Linked DNA regions of Anolis sagrei. The protein of the gene in region 1 interacts with the protein of each later gene in a pairwise test. Links are inferred from orthologs where the notes say so. Each region holds a gene or a part of one and is shown in the gene's direction. Other genes may lie near its edges.

What was found.
Region 2: the proteins of HOMER1 (region 1) and C4H1orf116 interact in binary tests that used the Homo sapiens proteins (3 or more experiments, as listed by UniProt). The link is inferred for Anolis sagrei from reciprocal best matches to the Homo sapiens genes HOMER1 and C1orf116.

The regions. Positions count from the first base shown.
Region 1 is NC_090022.1:266,017,415-266,024,269, reverse strand, and holds the start of HOMER1 (homer protein homolog 1), read left to right. Parts: upstream 1-3,845; 5' UTR 3,846-5,830; coding exon 5,831-5,835; intron 5,836-6,855. UniProt on the Homo sapiens protein: Postsynaptic density scaffolding protein. Binds and cross-links cytoplasmic regions of GRM1, GRM5, ITPR1, DNM3, RYR1, RYR2, SHANK1 and SHANK3.
Region 2 is NC_090024.1:196,183,417-196,191,116, reverse strand, and holds the start of C4H1orf116 (specifically androgen-regulated gene protein), read left to right. Parts: upstream 1-4,682; 5' UTR 4,683-4,795; intron 4,796-4,870; exon of another isoform or gene 4,871-4,994; intron 4,995-7,700. UniProt on the Homo sapiens protein: Putative androgen-specific receptor.

The DNA.
Region 1 (6,855 bases):
TTCCTGTGAGACATTTTAGCTTTCATTAGGTAATCAGGACTCAGAGTCCTGAAGTTAAGTAAAACCATCTCCTTCCCATTTGGAGTCATAATGTTTATAAAGACAACTTGGGCATTTTCCTTAATTCACCTGAAACAAGTTGGGTTGTGAAAATTATGTCCTTTTTCTGTGCTTCTGGAGTGAAAAAGGTTCTGGACTGGTTTCCATGAGAATGGCAGTTGAGGCGGTTAGGCTTCGTGTCTTATATGTAAACTGAGACATTACAAGATTCAATCAGACAGGAGTATATTAATTAAACAGCACCACAGAAGGGTAAATGTGGGCAAAGAATGGATAATGTCAGCCATCAAATATCCGCAAGAGGAAAAGAGTGAGCAATGAATTTACCTCCGCTGAAAGGAAACCACTGAAGCACAGGAAGGAAAACCTGAATGGCACTCATCTCCAAAGTTTAATTTTAAAGAATTGGTTGTTTTACTTGTTATTATTGTGTGCTTTCAATTTGTTTCTGACTTGTGATAGCCTTCAGGCAAACCTATAATCAGGCATGTAGCTGCGGGGGGGGGGGGGGGGGGGGGGCTTGAGGGGCTTCACTAAATTCTCATGTTGGTCTGCGAGAAGGCCTTACTGGTATATTATTCAAACTGTTATGTTTATTCATATCATGATCTGATCACTATGCTCAATATATCTCATATGCATGGGGGTATTGGGGTAACGATACAAAAAGTTTGCTAGGGTAGACCCTCTTTCACTCAGACTCAGCCCCCCCCCACCCCGAATCAAACTCAGCCCCCCCCCCCCCCCCCGAATCAAAATCCTGGCTACGGGCCTGCCTGTCATGGTCTTTTGGTAATACTCGTTCAGATTGGGCTGAGAGCATGTGACTTACACAAAATCATCTAGTGGGGATTTGATCTCCAGAGTCACAGAAGAATTAATGTAGTTTGGCCAATGCTATGCAGTCATGGGATTTCTTGTTTGGTCTCCAGCTTCACAAATTGCATCTGCTCAGAAGAATTAATGCAGGTTGGTACCACTGTAACTGCCATGGATCAATGCTATGGAGTCATGGGATTTCTGGTTTGGTCTCCAGCATCGCAAATTGCATCTGCTCAGAATTAATGTAGCTATGATTCAATACTATGGAATCATGAGAGTTGTAATTTTACAACTTTAGCAACACAAGGAGCCCCCAGTGATGCAGTGGGTTAAACTGCTGAGCTGCTCAGCTTGTTGACCGAAAGGTTACAGGTTCAAATCCGGTAAGTGGCGTGAGCTTCCACTGTCAGCCCCAACTTCTGCCAACTAAGCAGTTTGAAAACATGCAAATGTGAGTAGATAAATAGGAACCATTCTGGCGGGAAGGTAAAGGCGCTCCGTGTAGTCATGCCAGCCACATGACTTTGGAGGCATCTACAGACAATGTCGGCTCTTCGGCTTAGAAATGGAGATGTGCACCAACCCCCAGAGTTGGACACGACTGGATTTAATGTCAGGGGAAACCCCTTATCTACCACATCAAACAGTGCTGTCGTCCCACCAAACCACAAATGCTAGGATTCTATAGCATTGAGCCATGGCAGTTAAAGTGGTATCAAAAAGTATTAATTGTGCCTGTCTTCCCAAGAGATTTGCAGGATTTTCCAGAGGCAGCACTGATGGAATTGTTCCAGGAGTTGCATGTGATGTCTGTAGAGAGTCCACGTTTCGTAGGCGTATAACAGGGTTGGGAGGACAATCTACCTATATATAAATGCTCTGTGAATAATGAGTACCTTAAAAACAAAAAAAAACTACAGGGCCAAATGACCCCAAATTTGGCAACAAAATTTCTCACAATCCAAGGAGTGACCATCACTGAAAAAAAACCCCACAAAACACCTTTAAATTAAAAAAAGGAAGAAGACAACACACCTCCCCTGCCCCCCTCACGCTGAGAACACAGAATGAGGGTTCCAAAGCAGCAGGGGTGGCAATGGTTGCTGCTCCCTGTGTGTCTCTCAGCCCCTAACTAACACTAAGGCAAAGGATCAAAGGGCAGAAGCTGAGGAGAAGGAGGAGGGGAGGAGGAGAGAGAGGGGGGAAGGAAAAAAGAGGGAGGCATGCCACACTCTGTGCACACATTCTGACTCTGTCTCCCACACACACACTTCCAAAGGAAAAGGGAAGGAGGAAGGTGCCATTTTGCCCTCCATTCATGCCTCTTCAAATTCTACAGCTACACACGAAACTGACATTGCTTGGAAAGGAGCTCTAAAGACCATCCAGCCCAACCTCATTTGGCAGTAAAGGAAGACACCATCAAAGCCCTCATAACAGATGACCAACCAGTTGGAAGGGAGCCCTAAAGGCCATCAGGTCCAACCCCTTCCTTCCCTCCCTTCCCTACTTCCCTTCCTTCTCCTTACCTCCCTTCCCTTCCTCCCTTTCTTTCCTTCCTTTTCTCCTCCCCTCACCAGCTTCATTCTCCTTTATTAAATCAACAGTGTAGATGCACCCAAAGTCAGACCAAGGAGTGACCATCACTCATAAAAACACTGAAAAACACAGCAGAAGACTTAAAAAGCCAAAAAATAAAAAATACATTACAACGCATGTGCAAAACCACATATATAAATGCAAACACACACATATACACAAATATACATGCACACAATACATACATATGTACACACACACACAACACATATACACAGATTGGGCCACAGCAACGCATGGCAGGCGACAGCTAGTACTATATAATATAATGTTACTACTATATAATACTATATTAAATAGACTCATAGAATAGACTTAGAAGAGACTCTACCATGGTATTGAGCGAGAAGAGACAGGAAGGAAGGAGAGAAGAAAGGAGGAAGGGAAAAGGGGAAGGAATGAAGGAGGGAAAGGGGGAAGGAAGGAAAGAGAGAAGGAAGGAGAGAAGGAAGGAAAGAAAGGTGCTGAAGGAAGGAAGAAGAGAAAGTAGTAAGGAAAGAAAAAGGGAAGGGGGGGGAAGGAAAGAGGTAAAGAAGGAAGGAAGGAGAAAAGGAAATAAAAAGTGAAAGAAGGATGGAAACAGGGAGGGAAGAAAGGAGACAAAGGAAGTAGAGAAAGGAGGGAAGGGAGGAAACCAAAGAGTGAAAGAAGGAATGAAAGAAAGAGGTAGAGAAGGAAGAAAGGAGAGAAAAGGGAAGAAAAAGGGGGAAGGAATAGGTAGGTACCTCTCTTTCATAACAGTCCAGATATCTACCTCTACTTCGAAAATTCTTACTATAGGCCACAGCAATGCGTGGCAGGGTACAGCTAGTAGCTTTATAGACAAGCACCTTGGTATCCCTACTGATGTCCCGGTCCTCAAACACTCTCTGCTTCATTCGGAAAAAAGCTGCACTCGCAGAGCTCAGGCGGTGTTGTATTTCGGTGTCAATGTTGACTTTGGTGGAAAGGTGGCTGCCAAGGTATTGGAAATGGTCAACATTTTCTAATGTTACACCATTAAGCTGTATTTCTGGCATTGGAGAGTGATTGGCTGGTGACTGCTGGAAGAGCACTTTGGTTTTCTCGATGTTCAATGGAGGAAAGCAGTGTGTGTGTTTGTGTGTATGTGTTTTCGTTCCCCACGCTGCCTTCCCCATTTTGCAAAGTTACGTTACCGAGGAAGAGGCAAGCCCTGGGTTCCTGGGCATGCACTCTATTTGGTTTCCTTGCGGGGGAACTGCGGAGGGGGGCTCGGCTCGCCTTCCCCTCCGCCTTCCCTATTATAGCCCCGCTTCCGGCGGCGTGGACCACTCTGACATCATCCCCCGCACCCCGGTGACGTCAGCGCCGGGAGCGGAGTGGGTGACGCCGGGTGCGTAGGGGAGCGTGGTGACGTCTCCTTACTTAAAGGTCCCCCGAGCGGAGGATGGAGGCAGAGGAAGCAGGTGCTCCTGACAGCGTCGCTGTGGAGTAGAGCCAGGCACAGAGAACGACAGGCAGAGAGACAGAGAGAGGGGGAGCGTTGAGCGGCGCAGCCTCTCGGGACCAGCAGGGCTCCCCTTCCAGCCTTAGCCCCTGCCTTTCCCCGCGGTGGGTGGGAGAGAGGGAGGAGGAGGAGGAGGAAACGGGCAGCTAGCTTGGGCGCCCCTTCCAGCCTCGCTGCCCCTGCCTTCCTCTCCCCGCGGTGGGAGAGGGCCGAGAAGCGGAGGGCAAGAGCCGGAGAGGAGCGGGAGAAGGCAGAGCCGAGCAAGGAAGGTGTGAAGAAGAGGAGGAGCAGGAGCAGGCGCCACGGGTTGACCCCGGGCTCTGCACAGCGAGCGGGAAAGGCGCCTCCTCCTCCTCTGCCTGCGCCTCCGCCTTCCCCCTGCCCTCTCCGCAGCGGATTTGGCCCTTCTGCTGCTGCTTCGGTGCCACTCCTCCTCCTCCTCTCCTTCTCTTCTTCCCCTTCCTCCCTCTAATCCTCTTCCTTCTCTTCCTCCTCCCCCTTCTCTTCCTCCTTCTCCTTTCCTCCCCTCCTCTTCTTCTCCTCCTCATCGTCCTCCCCCCCTCTTGTCCTCTTCCTTCCCCTCTCCTCCTTCTCTTCCTCCTCTCGTCCTCCTTCTCCTCTTCCTCTCCTCCTTCTCTTCCTCTCCCTCCTCTTCGTCCTTCTCCTCCTCCTTCTCCTTTTCCTCCTCTCTTCCTCCTTCTCCTCTTCCTCCTCCTCCTTTTCCTCCTCCTCCTCTTCTTCCTCCTCCTCCTCCTTCTCCTCCTCCTCCCTTTCTGCTGGGAATGATGAATGTGCGCCTGCCTCCTTCCCCGTCCGAGCAGATGGCAGACCCACTGCGGGGACAGGCGTGAATGAAGCAGGCGACGCCGGGATAAGGAGCCGCCTCCTCCTCCTCCTCTTCCCTTTTCCTCCTCCCCTTTTTCCTCCTCCTCCTCCCCCAGTGTAGCCTTCCCCACTCGTCCCTCCATCCATCCCTGGCGCAGGGGATGAGCGGCTAGTGCCTTGCAGCCGCCGCCGCTTCTCTCTCTTTTCCTCCCGGAGCCCGATGTCAGCGCCGGCGGAACGGCTTCCTTTTCCTCTTCCTCCCTCTGCTGCCGCTGCTGCTGCTGCTCCTGCCTGGGAAAATGAAGCGACACCCCCCATGCCGCTGCTGCTGGTGCTGGCGGGGGTGTTAGGAGGAGGAGGAGGAAGAAGAAGAAGGGCGGCGCTGCGCACACCGCAAGCCCCCGGATCCCGCGCTGCGCCGGAGGAAAGGCGGCGGCGGTGGTGGAGGAGGAGAAGGAGCGCCTCCCGGGCCAGAGGACTGACTGACTGACTGCCTGGCTAGCTGGCTGACTGCTGGAGGCAGCATCTGGGCTGCTAATCCTCGCCGATAAGAAGAGAGAGCAGGAGCGCGCCTCTCCTCCTCCTCCTCCTTCTCCCCGCAGAAGGAGGGGATTTCTTCCTCCTCCTCTTCCTCCTCCTCCTCCTTGGCGAGGAGCTGGAGCTGCCCCTGGACCCCACGCTGCAGGACAAGGCAGGGGCAGCCCCGAGGCCATGGGGGAGAGGCTTCCCGGACTGGCTTCCTAGTAGGCACCGAAAGAGAGAGAGAGCGAGAGCCTTCCTTCCTTCTTTCCTTCCTTCCTTCTCCCCCTGGCTCCGCTCCCACATGCCTGTAGACTCTAGCGTTTGAAAAGCCTGCCTCCGAGGCGCGTGGGGCCACCTGGGTTTCGCGTGGGATCTATAGAGACAGACACACCACGGCAGAAGGCGAGAAGAGGAGTGTCCGCGTTGCTCACCGGACCATTGAGTGGGAAAGGCCAGAGGACGGGGAAAAAACCAAAAGATCCTTGTAGGAATTATCCATCCAAAACACTCACAACGCTCGTCTCACTGGCCATCATGGGGTAAGGATTTCTTCCTGGGATCGGGGAGTTTTGAGCCCAGCACGTCCACTCTCTTTCCTTCCTTCTTTCCTTGCCATGCCCGTCTTTGGAAGAAGGCAGGCCAGACCATTAAAGGGCGCCCAGGAGGAGGAAGGAGTATGGTTAACTGGGGAAGCTATAGATTAACTTCAGAATGTCTCCCAAACGTCTTGCTAGGCCAGCAGCACTGAGATATGTGACAGCACCAATGAATCCCATTTCCCATTAAGGTTTGGGCATGGCTAATCTTAAATACTACTGGATAGTTTGAACCACGAGCCAGAAAACATTTGGGTTGCTGTGAGTTTCCTCCAAACTGTATGCCCATATTCCAGAAGCATGCTCTCCTGACGTTTTGGCCAAATCTATGGCAGGTATCCTCATAGATTGTGAGGTATATTGGAAACTAGGCAAGTGAGGTTTATATATCTGTGGAAGGTCCAGGGTGGGAGAAAGAACTCTTGTCTGCTTGAGGCAAGTGTGAATGTTGCAATTGGCCACCTTGACTAGCATTGAATGGCCTTACAGCTTCAAAGCCTGGCTGCTTCCTGTCTGGGGTTTATATATCTGTGGAATGTTCAGGGTGGGAGAAAGAACTCTTGCCTGTTGGAGGCAAGTGTGAATGTTGCATTTGGCCACCTTGACTAGCATTGAATGGCCTTACAGCTTCAAAGCCTGGCTGCTTCCTGTCTGGGGTTTATATATCTGTAGAATGATGTCCAGGGTGGGAGAAAGAACTCTTGTCTGTTTGAAGCAAGTGTGAATGTTGCATTTGGCCTTGACTAGCCATGAATGGCCTTACAGCTTCAAAGCCTGCCTGCTTCCTGCCTGGGGTTTATATATTTGTGGAAGGTCCAGGGTGGGAGAAAGAACTCATGTCTGTTTGAGGCAAGTGTGAATGTTGCATTTGGCTACTTTGATTAGCATTTAATGGCTTCACAGCTTCAAAGCCTGCCTGCTTCCTGCCTGGGGTTTATATATTTGTGGAAGATCCAGAGTGGA
Region 2 (7,700 bases), on another chromosome or scaffold:
TATGCAGAAGAACAACATGCCAAATGAAGGTGGTGCCTGCGAACACTCATGAAATACCTGAGAAGCCAGAAGAAAGGAACTGTTGTACCTGAAAATAGTGGCAGCTTGCTTCTCTGTTTGAAGTACCTGGCAGTCTCTCAAGTTGGAATGATCAGAAAGAACTGCCTTGTTTCATGAATCCATTGTTCTTCGTTGCCTAGATGATCTTTCCAACCGGCATGGGTTGCAACGTCTGCTTCACCACTGCAATGTCATTATATATGTTTCCTGTGTTTAATATTACTTGGGATGGAGAGAGAGCAACAGGCTGAGAGAACTGGCGAAAAACAAAGTAAGGCTGCATCTACATTGTAGAATGAATGCAGTTTGACACCAATTTAAGTGCCATGGCTCAATGCTATGAAATCCTAGGCATTTTAGTTTGGTGAGGTACCAGCATTTTTGGGTAGATAAAGCTAAAGACCTTATAAAACTATAACCCTCAGGATTCCATTGCATTGAGCCATGGCAGTTAAAACAGTGCCAAACTGCATTCATTCTATGGTATATATCAGGGGTGTCAAAATCATTTTTACCAAGGGTCACATCAGTCTTATGGTTGCTTTCGAAGAGCCACCGTATATAAATGTAACTATTTGCCTGGCATTGAAAGCCTCACAGGTCACATAAAATGATGCAGAGGGCTGGATTCAGCCTGTGGGCCTTACGTTTGATAATGTGGTATAGATGCAACCCAAATGTGTCCGCGATCTCCCAGGGAAGGCTATGTGTTACCAATGGGATGGATCTAAAAAAATAATTAACTGCTATTGTAAATAACACATAATGGAATTGAATTACAGCTCATCACAACTTTATTTTAATTTCAATATGTAAGTCTTTAGGTTTCTTGGACTGAATGCAGGTTTAGGCATACTTACAAATAAGTCTCACAGAGTTAAATGCATCTTATTTCTAACTGAGTATAGCACTGTAGATTCAGGGAACTTCCAAGAGTTTCATTTTGGTCATCCTGTGTTGAATACACAATAGTGGCAACTTCAAATTGTAATTCTTTTGTGCTTTTCAACTGCTGATTCCATACAAAACTCATTAAGAAAGGAAAGAAAAAATAACTACTGTGCACAGTGTCTCGAACTTACTGAAATTCTAAAGGTCTGTTTGTTGGAGCCACAATTTTCTATTTAAATCACAATGGCAGTTCCACTGTTATTACAACTGAATTTTCTGCTACTGACATTACTTCCAGGCTTTCCGGCACTGTCCAGGATTTGTCCAGTCAACTAATGAGGAGGTACGATGGAAAAACAGTAAACTGCCCATTATTATTATATTCCTTCTACTGTCAGAAACAGATATGTCAGGATTTCTTTTTTTGCCTCAGATCCAGAATAATGTGACCAGTCTTATGTTCTCTAAAACTTGATACACAAATAGTGGTTGCATTTGTCACACCTCCTCAGCTGCAATATTTCTTGTGCTGGCCTTCATCATTAGTATTTCCAACTGTCTCCGTAAACAACGCTGAAGCACTGCATGGGTTGGGATTCAGTCCATTAACTGTGGCAATGTGATTGTATTATGTCACAGTATGGTTTCAGTTTCAGCCACATGATGTATCTTTAGGACCCAACCCAAGTTGGTTAATGAAGGAAATATCTGGAATGTGAGAGCTGATCCATATATCTAACTATAAGCCATTTTCTTATTATATTCCCATTACATTGCATTTTAGTGGTAAACGTTGCATTGAATCACAAGGAACTGTGTAAATCCTCTTCACATGCAAGATAGAGTTCTGTATCATGTGTAAGATTCAGTTCCATATCACATGAAGATCATCTTCTTCACTTTAGAATTTGGCCATCAAGCAAAGGAAAATTTTAAAAAGGTAAAGGTTTTCCCTAGACGTTAACCTTAGTTGAATCCAACTCTGGGGAGTGGTGCTCATCTCAATTTCTAAGCCGAAGAGCTGGTATTGTCTGTAGACGCCTCCAAGGTTATGTGGCTGGCATGACTGCATGGAGTGCCATTACCTTCCCGCCAAAGTGATACCTATTGATCTCACATTTCACTGTTTTCGAACTGCTAGGTTGGCAGAAGCTGAGGGTAACCACAAGAGCTCAGCCCATCCCACGGATTCAAACTGCCAGTCTTCTGGTCAGCAAGTTCTGCAACTTAGTGGTTTAACCCACTGAGCCATCACAGCCCCAAAGGAGAATACTAATATCTATATCCTAGAGAATAAGCTCACCACTGTGTTTGAACATAGTAGAATTAATGCCGCTTGATACCCCTTAAACTGGCATGACTAAATGGCATGCTATGGAATCATGGGAAAGGTAGTGTTACATGGTCTTTCTCCTTTCCTATTTAATAGTACTGGTGTTTCAACAAAATACAGCTCACACAATTCCATAGCATTGCTCCATGGCAGTTAAAACGGTGTCAAACGGCAATAATTCTGCAGTGTAGATGCACCTAAGCTCTCCTGCCCACAGCTATGAATTCAATCTTGCAATGAATGGTTATGAAAGTCTGTTTGTTCAATGATAATATTGGCTGGTTCCCAGGAACTTCACTAGTGCACAATGCAAGCTAAAGCTGCAGTCTATCAATTTGTAATGAGACTTCAAATAATGACATGTACATAGGATAGGTATGTAAGAACTGAAACTTTTCCAGATCCATATATGTCACCTGTCAGCTTCTGGCGACTGCATATATTTCATGGGGTTTTCTTTGGCAAGGAATAATCATGTAGTTTTGCTAGTTCTTTCCTCTGAAATATAGCACCTGGTATTCACTGGTGGTCTTCCACCCAAGTACTAGCCAAAGTTGATCCTTCTTAGCTTCCAAGATCAAACAAGAGCTGGTGCATTTGGGGTGTTTAGGTCCATATCCCACCATTTCATAGGTGAAAGTTGAGACTTGGCCAAGTAACATAAGAATGTGGTGAGGATGGCAAAAGTTATAAATGAGGAAGAATACATAATTCAGGAGAGGCTGTAGCAGTGCCTCTCCTTTTGCCTGAACCTACTGGGTGTGCATCTACACTGTAAAATGAATACAGTTTGACATATTAATTGTCATGATTCAATACTATGGAAATGTGGAAGTAGTAGTTTTACAAAGATTTTAGTCTTCTTTGCCAAATAGGGCTGATGCCTCATTAAGCTACAATTCGCAGGATTCCGTAGCATTGAGCATGGCAGTTAAAGTGATGTCAAACTGCATTAATTCTACAGTGTCCCTCTTTTGCATTTTAATTTGCATGAATTGGTATAAGCAGATGATAAAGTGGGGAACTGGAAGGAGGGGAGAGAAAACTGGAGCATTTTAAAAACAGCTGAAGAACTGAGATAGCAGAGAATTAATTAGGACTTTCCTTGCCAAATTAGAGTAATGTGAGGCTATACAAGCAGTGCTAAATGTGCACACTAGAATAAATACAAGCAGTCTTTACACTGTACATGTATAATAATTTCAGGGGTCATGATATTTCAATATTATTAAACTATAACTATAATCCCATTTACTAGTTATGATAGTTTCATGTGCATAAGGTGCCGTCCTATAACATAACAGACATAGTATTGCAACAGCCAGGTAACATTGCATATAGTAAAGGTAAATGTTTTCCCTCGACGTTAAGTCTAGTCCAATTCCAGGAGTTGGTGCTCATTTCCATTTCTAAGCCAAAGAGCCATTGTCCATAGACACATTCAAGGTCATGTGGCCAGCATGACCGCATGGAACACCGTTACTTTCCTGCCCCAAGGAGCCCCTAGTGGCGCAATGGGTTAAACCCTTGTGCTAGCAGGACTGAAGACCAACAGATCACAGGCTCAAATCCAAGGAGAGCGTGGATGAGCTCCCTCTGTTAGCTCCGGTTCCCCATGCAGGGACATGAGAGAACCCTCTCATAAGGATGGTAAAACATCAAAAACATTCCCTGGGCAACATCCTTGCAGACGGCCAATTCTCTCACACCAGAAGTGACTTGCAGTTTCTTAAGTCGCTCCTGACACACAAAAAAAACCAAAAATCTTCCTGCCAAGGCGGTACCTATTGATCTACTCACATTGGCTGTTTTTTAACTGCTAGGTTGGCAGAAGCTGGGGCTAACAGCGAGAGCTTACCTTGCTTCCCGGATTTGAACCGTCGACCTTTAGATCCACTGCGCCATTGAGGGTTCCACATTACATATAACCATTCTGGAAAAACTCTGGCACTACACAGCAAACTCTAATAGATCTGAAGTGTGTATGTATATATGAGAAGATCAGTTCCGTGTCCTTTTTTATGGGGACAAGCCCCAATGACCAAGGGAAATATACAACTGTCTTCCTAACAGATGTACATTTGGCAGATTTATTATTGTTGTCTTCCCCTCTTTCCTACTTCAGAGGGCAGCATCTTCTTTTAATTGCAAAAACATTTCACGTTAAGAAATGTACCTATGTAAGGGTGTGTCAGTGTGTTCATAGAAAATGTTTGCCTTTTTGCTCTACACTGAACTGACAAAACCTAGAACTGAGTAAAGCATTTGTCAGGAACTCCTTGATCTTGCCTCCTCCTCCTATGGAGAACAGCTGGAGTGAGGAGTTTAGGGGAGTGTATGTGATTGGTTCAGACTCAGCAGAAGGGTGGAGTGAAGAAAGATAGAGGAGGAATTTACCTGTCTAGGTAAGTCAGTGGGAGGTCAAGAAGAGCAGGGAGAAGGCGGTGTAGCTCGTTTCGTTGTTTGAGTACACAGCAAAATACTTGGAACTGTTTCCATTTCCTAATACAGGTGAGTTAAACTCTAACTCAACTATTTACTTAGGAGGGTAAATAGTCCCTGGATTTATAAGTACAAATACCTGGCGCTTGTGCAGTCCTGCCTTTATGTTGTCTCTCTCTCTCTGTGCTATCTTCCTTGGTTTTACTCTTCAAGACATCTTTGGGCTGAGGAAGGCTTATGGAAAGATTTACAGATCTTCCTTGTGAATGTAAGTCAAACATAGTGCAAAAGCCAGCTAGGGGAATCCTTGCTGGTCACAATCCTTGTTGCTTTAAAAAAGACTTCTAGGATTTAAACCAGTGCTTTAACAATAACTTCCTTTTCTTTGCTGTCTATTCAGAATTATGAATGAACAGCAGAAACTTGCTGCTGGAATAAGAAGAGCAGGCATTCGTTTTAAGAAATAGACATGTTTGCTTTTTAACATAATTCTCTTTTTTTATAAAATGCCTTTTTAGGTGTTGGGAAAGAAAGACTGCTGTTCAGACTCTAGTAACTGGAAAATTTGACTGAATCAACAATGGTTCAATCATAAATATTTTTTAATGTGTAATGGGAGTCGAATTTTGCTTCTTATCAGATAAATGCAGGCAATTGTGCATGTTTGTAATCTGATGTTAAGTAGCTGGGATTGTGCAGATGCATATTTGTAAAGGATATCAATCAGAGGTTTGTCTTTTATGTGTAGAGAAATTGCTGTTGTCTACAGTTAAGCTGTTGGTGCATGTATGGAAGAGGCTTTCCTTGCCTCTTTTTCTGATGTGTTTTGGTAGTTGAGGAATAACAACAATGTTACATTCTCTGTGGATAAATCTGGACAAGTGTGCCCAGACAATTTTCTATTAGTGTTTATTACATTGTTTCATTTTATGTATATATGGTATTCCATCTGAACATTAGGAAGAACTTCCTGACTGTGAGAGCCGTTCAGCAGTGGAACTCTCTGCCCCGGAGTGTGGTGGAGGCTCCTTCTTTGGAAGCTTTTAAGCAGAGGCTGGATGGCCATTTGTCAGGGGTGATTTGAATGCAATATTCCTGCTTCTTGGCAGGGGGTTGGACTGGATGGCCCATGAGGTCTCTTCCAACTCTTTGATTCTATGATTCTATGATATATAGGAGTATATAGGACACAAATTCTTACTTATTAGAGTTTTGAAAGACTTGATCACTGATTTCAGTTTCTAGGGAATTACTGTGTGATATATGGGACCCCACGGTGGTGCAGCATGTTAAACTGCTGAATTGATTAACTTGCTGACTAAAACGTTGGCAATTCGAATTCAGGGAGTGGCGTGAGCTCCTGCTGTTAGCCCCAGCTTTTGCCAATCTAGCAGTTCAAAAACATGCAAGTGTGAGTAAATCAATAGGTACTGCTCTGGTGGGAAGGTAATGGTGCTCCATGCAGTCATGCCGGCCACATGACCTTGAAGGTGTCTACGGACAACACCGGCTTTTCGGCTTAGAAATTGAGATGAGCACCCCCCCCCCCCCCCAAAGCATGCATGTGTGAGTAAATCAATAGGTACTGCTCCGGTGGGAAGGTAATGGCGCTCTATACAGTTATGCCAGCCACATGACCTTGAAGGTGTCTACAGACAACGCCGGCTTTTTGGCTTAGAAACTGAGATGAGCACCACCCTCCAGAGGCAGACTTAATGTCAGGGGAAAATTTTACCTTTACTTTTACCTATATGGTTCTATCTGCATAGCTATTTTGTGAAGCTTGAAATTGAAACAAGGCTATAAATCTCTGCTAAATACAGCAAGTTGCATGACAATTATTAGCAGTTATGGAGGAAACAGTGACGTGTCCTTCAGGCCTTATCACACTGCACTGTTATAGTGCTATTATTAAACAGCTATGGAAGCATTCAGAGGAATTCTTGAGTTTGTAATTTAAAATTTTAAAATCCTCTCTGGTTGGAAATTCTGAATGTCCCTCCCTCAACTGCAAATCCCAGGATTCCATAAAATGTTGCCATGGCAATTAAAGTGGAATACTAACACTGCAACATTGTAGTGTGATAGAGTCCTCCCTCCCGTCTTGGGACGCAATCCATTTTTGGAGCATGCACTACTTCAATAGCCCATATATTGCTTTGCTAGAGATGGTAGACAAACACATTTGTGTGCTTTATTCAGTTGTTTGCAGTGCAGTTATTAGCAATTTTTGGAGAAGTGCCTGAAGGTAGTCAATAGTTTTCAAAGATCCAACAAGTTTATTTATAATTAAGAGTTTGTTTTAATTGTAAAGTGACCCAAAGTGTTAAGAAATATATAAGAGACCTGGCACTATGGCTTGACAGCTATGTGAGACATCTCATTCCTTTTTGCTATCACAGAGAGCAAGTAAAAGTTGTAGGATTAAAGAGATGCTGTACTTCTCAGAGATTCAGAATTTATGCACAACATACCTCCTTTCTGTCTGTTCTGTCCTGTCTGCCCAAAGAGCATTGAATATTTGCCACGTATGTGTACTGTGATCCGCCTTGAGTCCCCTTGGGGAGATAGGGTGGAATATAAATAAAGTATTATTATTATTATTATTATTATTATTATTATTATTATGTAAGTCTGCCTTAAAATGTTTTGTAGTGTGCTAGAATCCACTTTAGTTGGAATTTGCATTATATATCTTAACTACTTCTACAGTCTAAGAAATGACTATTTCACATAATAAGTTGTTAGTAACTTTATTCATAATATTGGATCAAGTAGAAATTGGGACATAGTGTGATTTAATAACCATTGTATAAGACTAGGAGAAAATGAAGTGTAAATCCCCACTTGCCCATGAAGCTTGCTTGCTTGGTCACCTTGGACCAGTCATGAGCCCTAGACAAACCTGCATCGCGAAAATACATGGGAATGAGAGACTCGTGTGTTAAGTGATGACCCATTGGAGGAAGAGTGA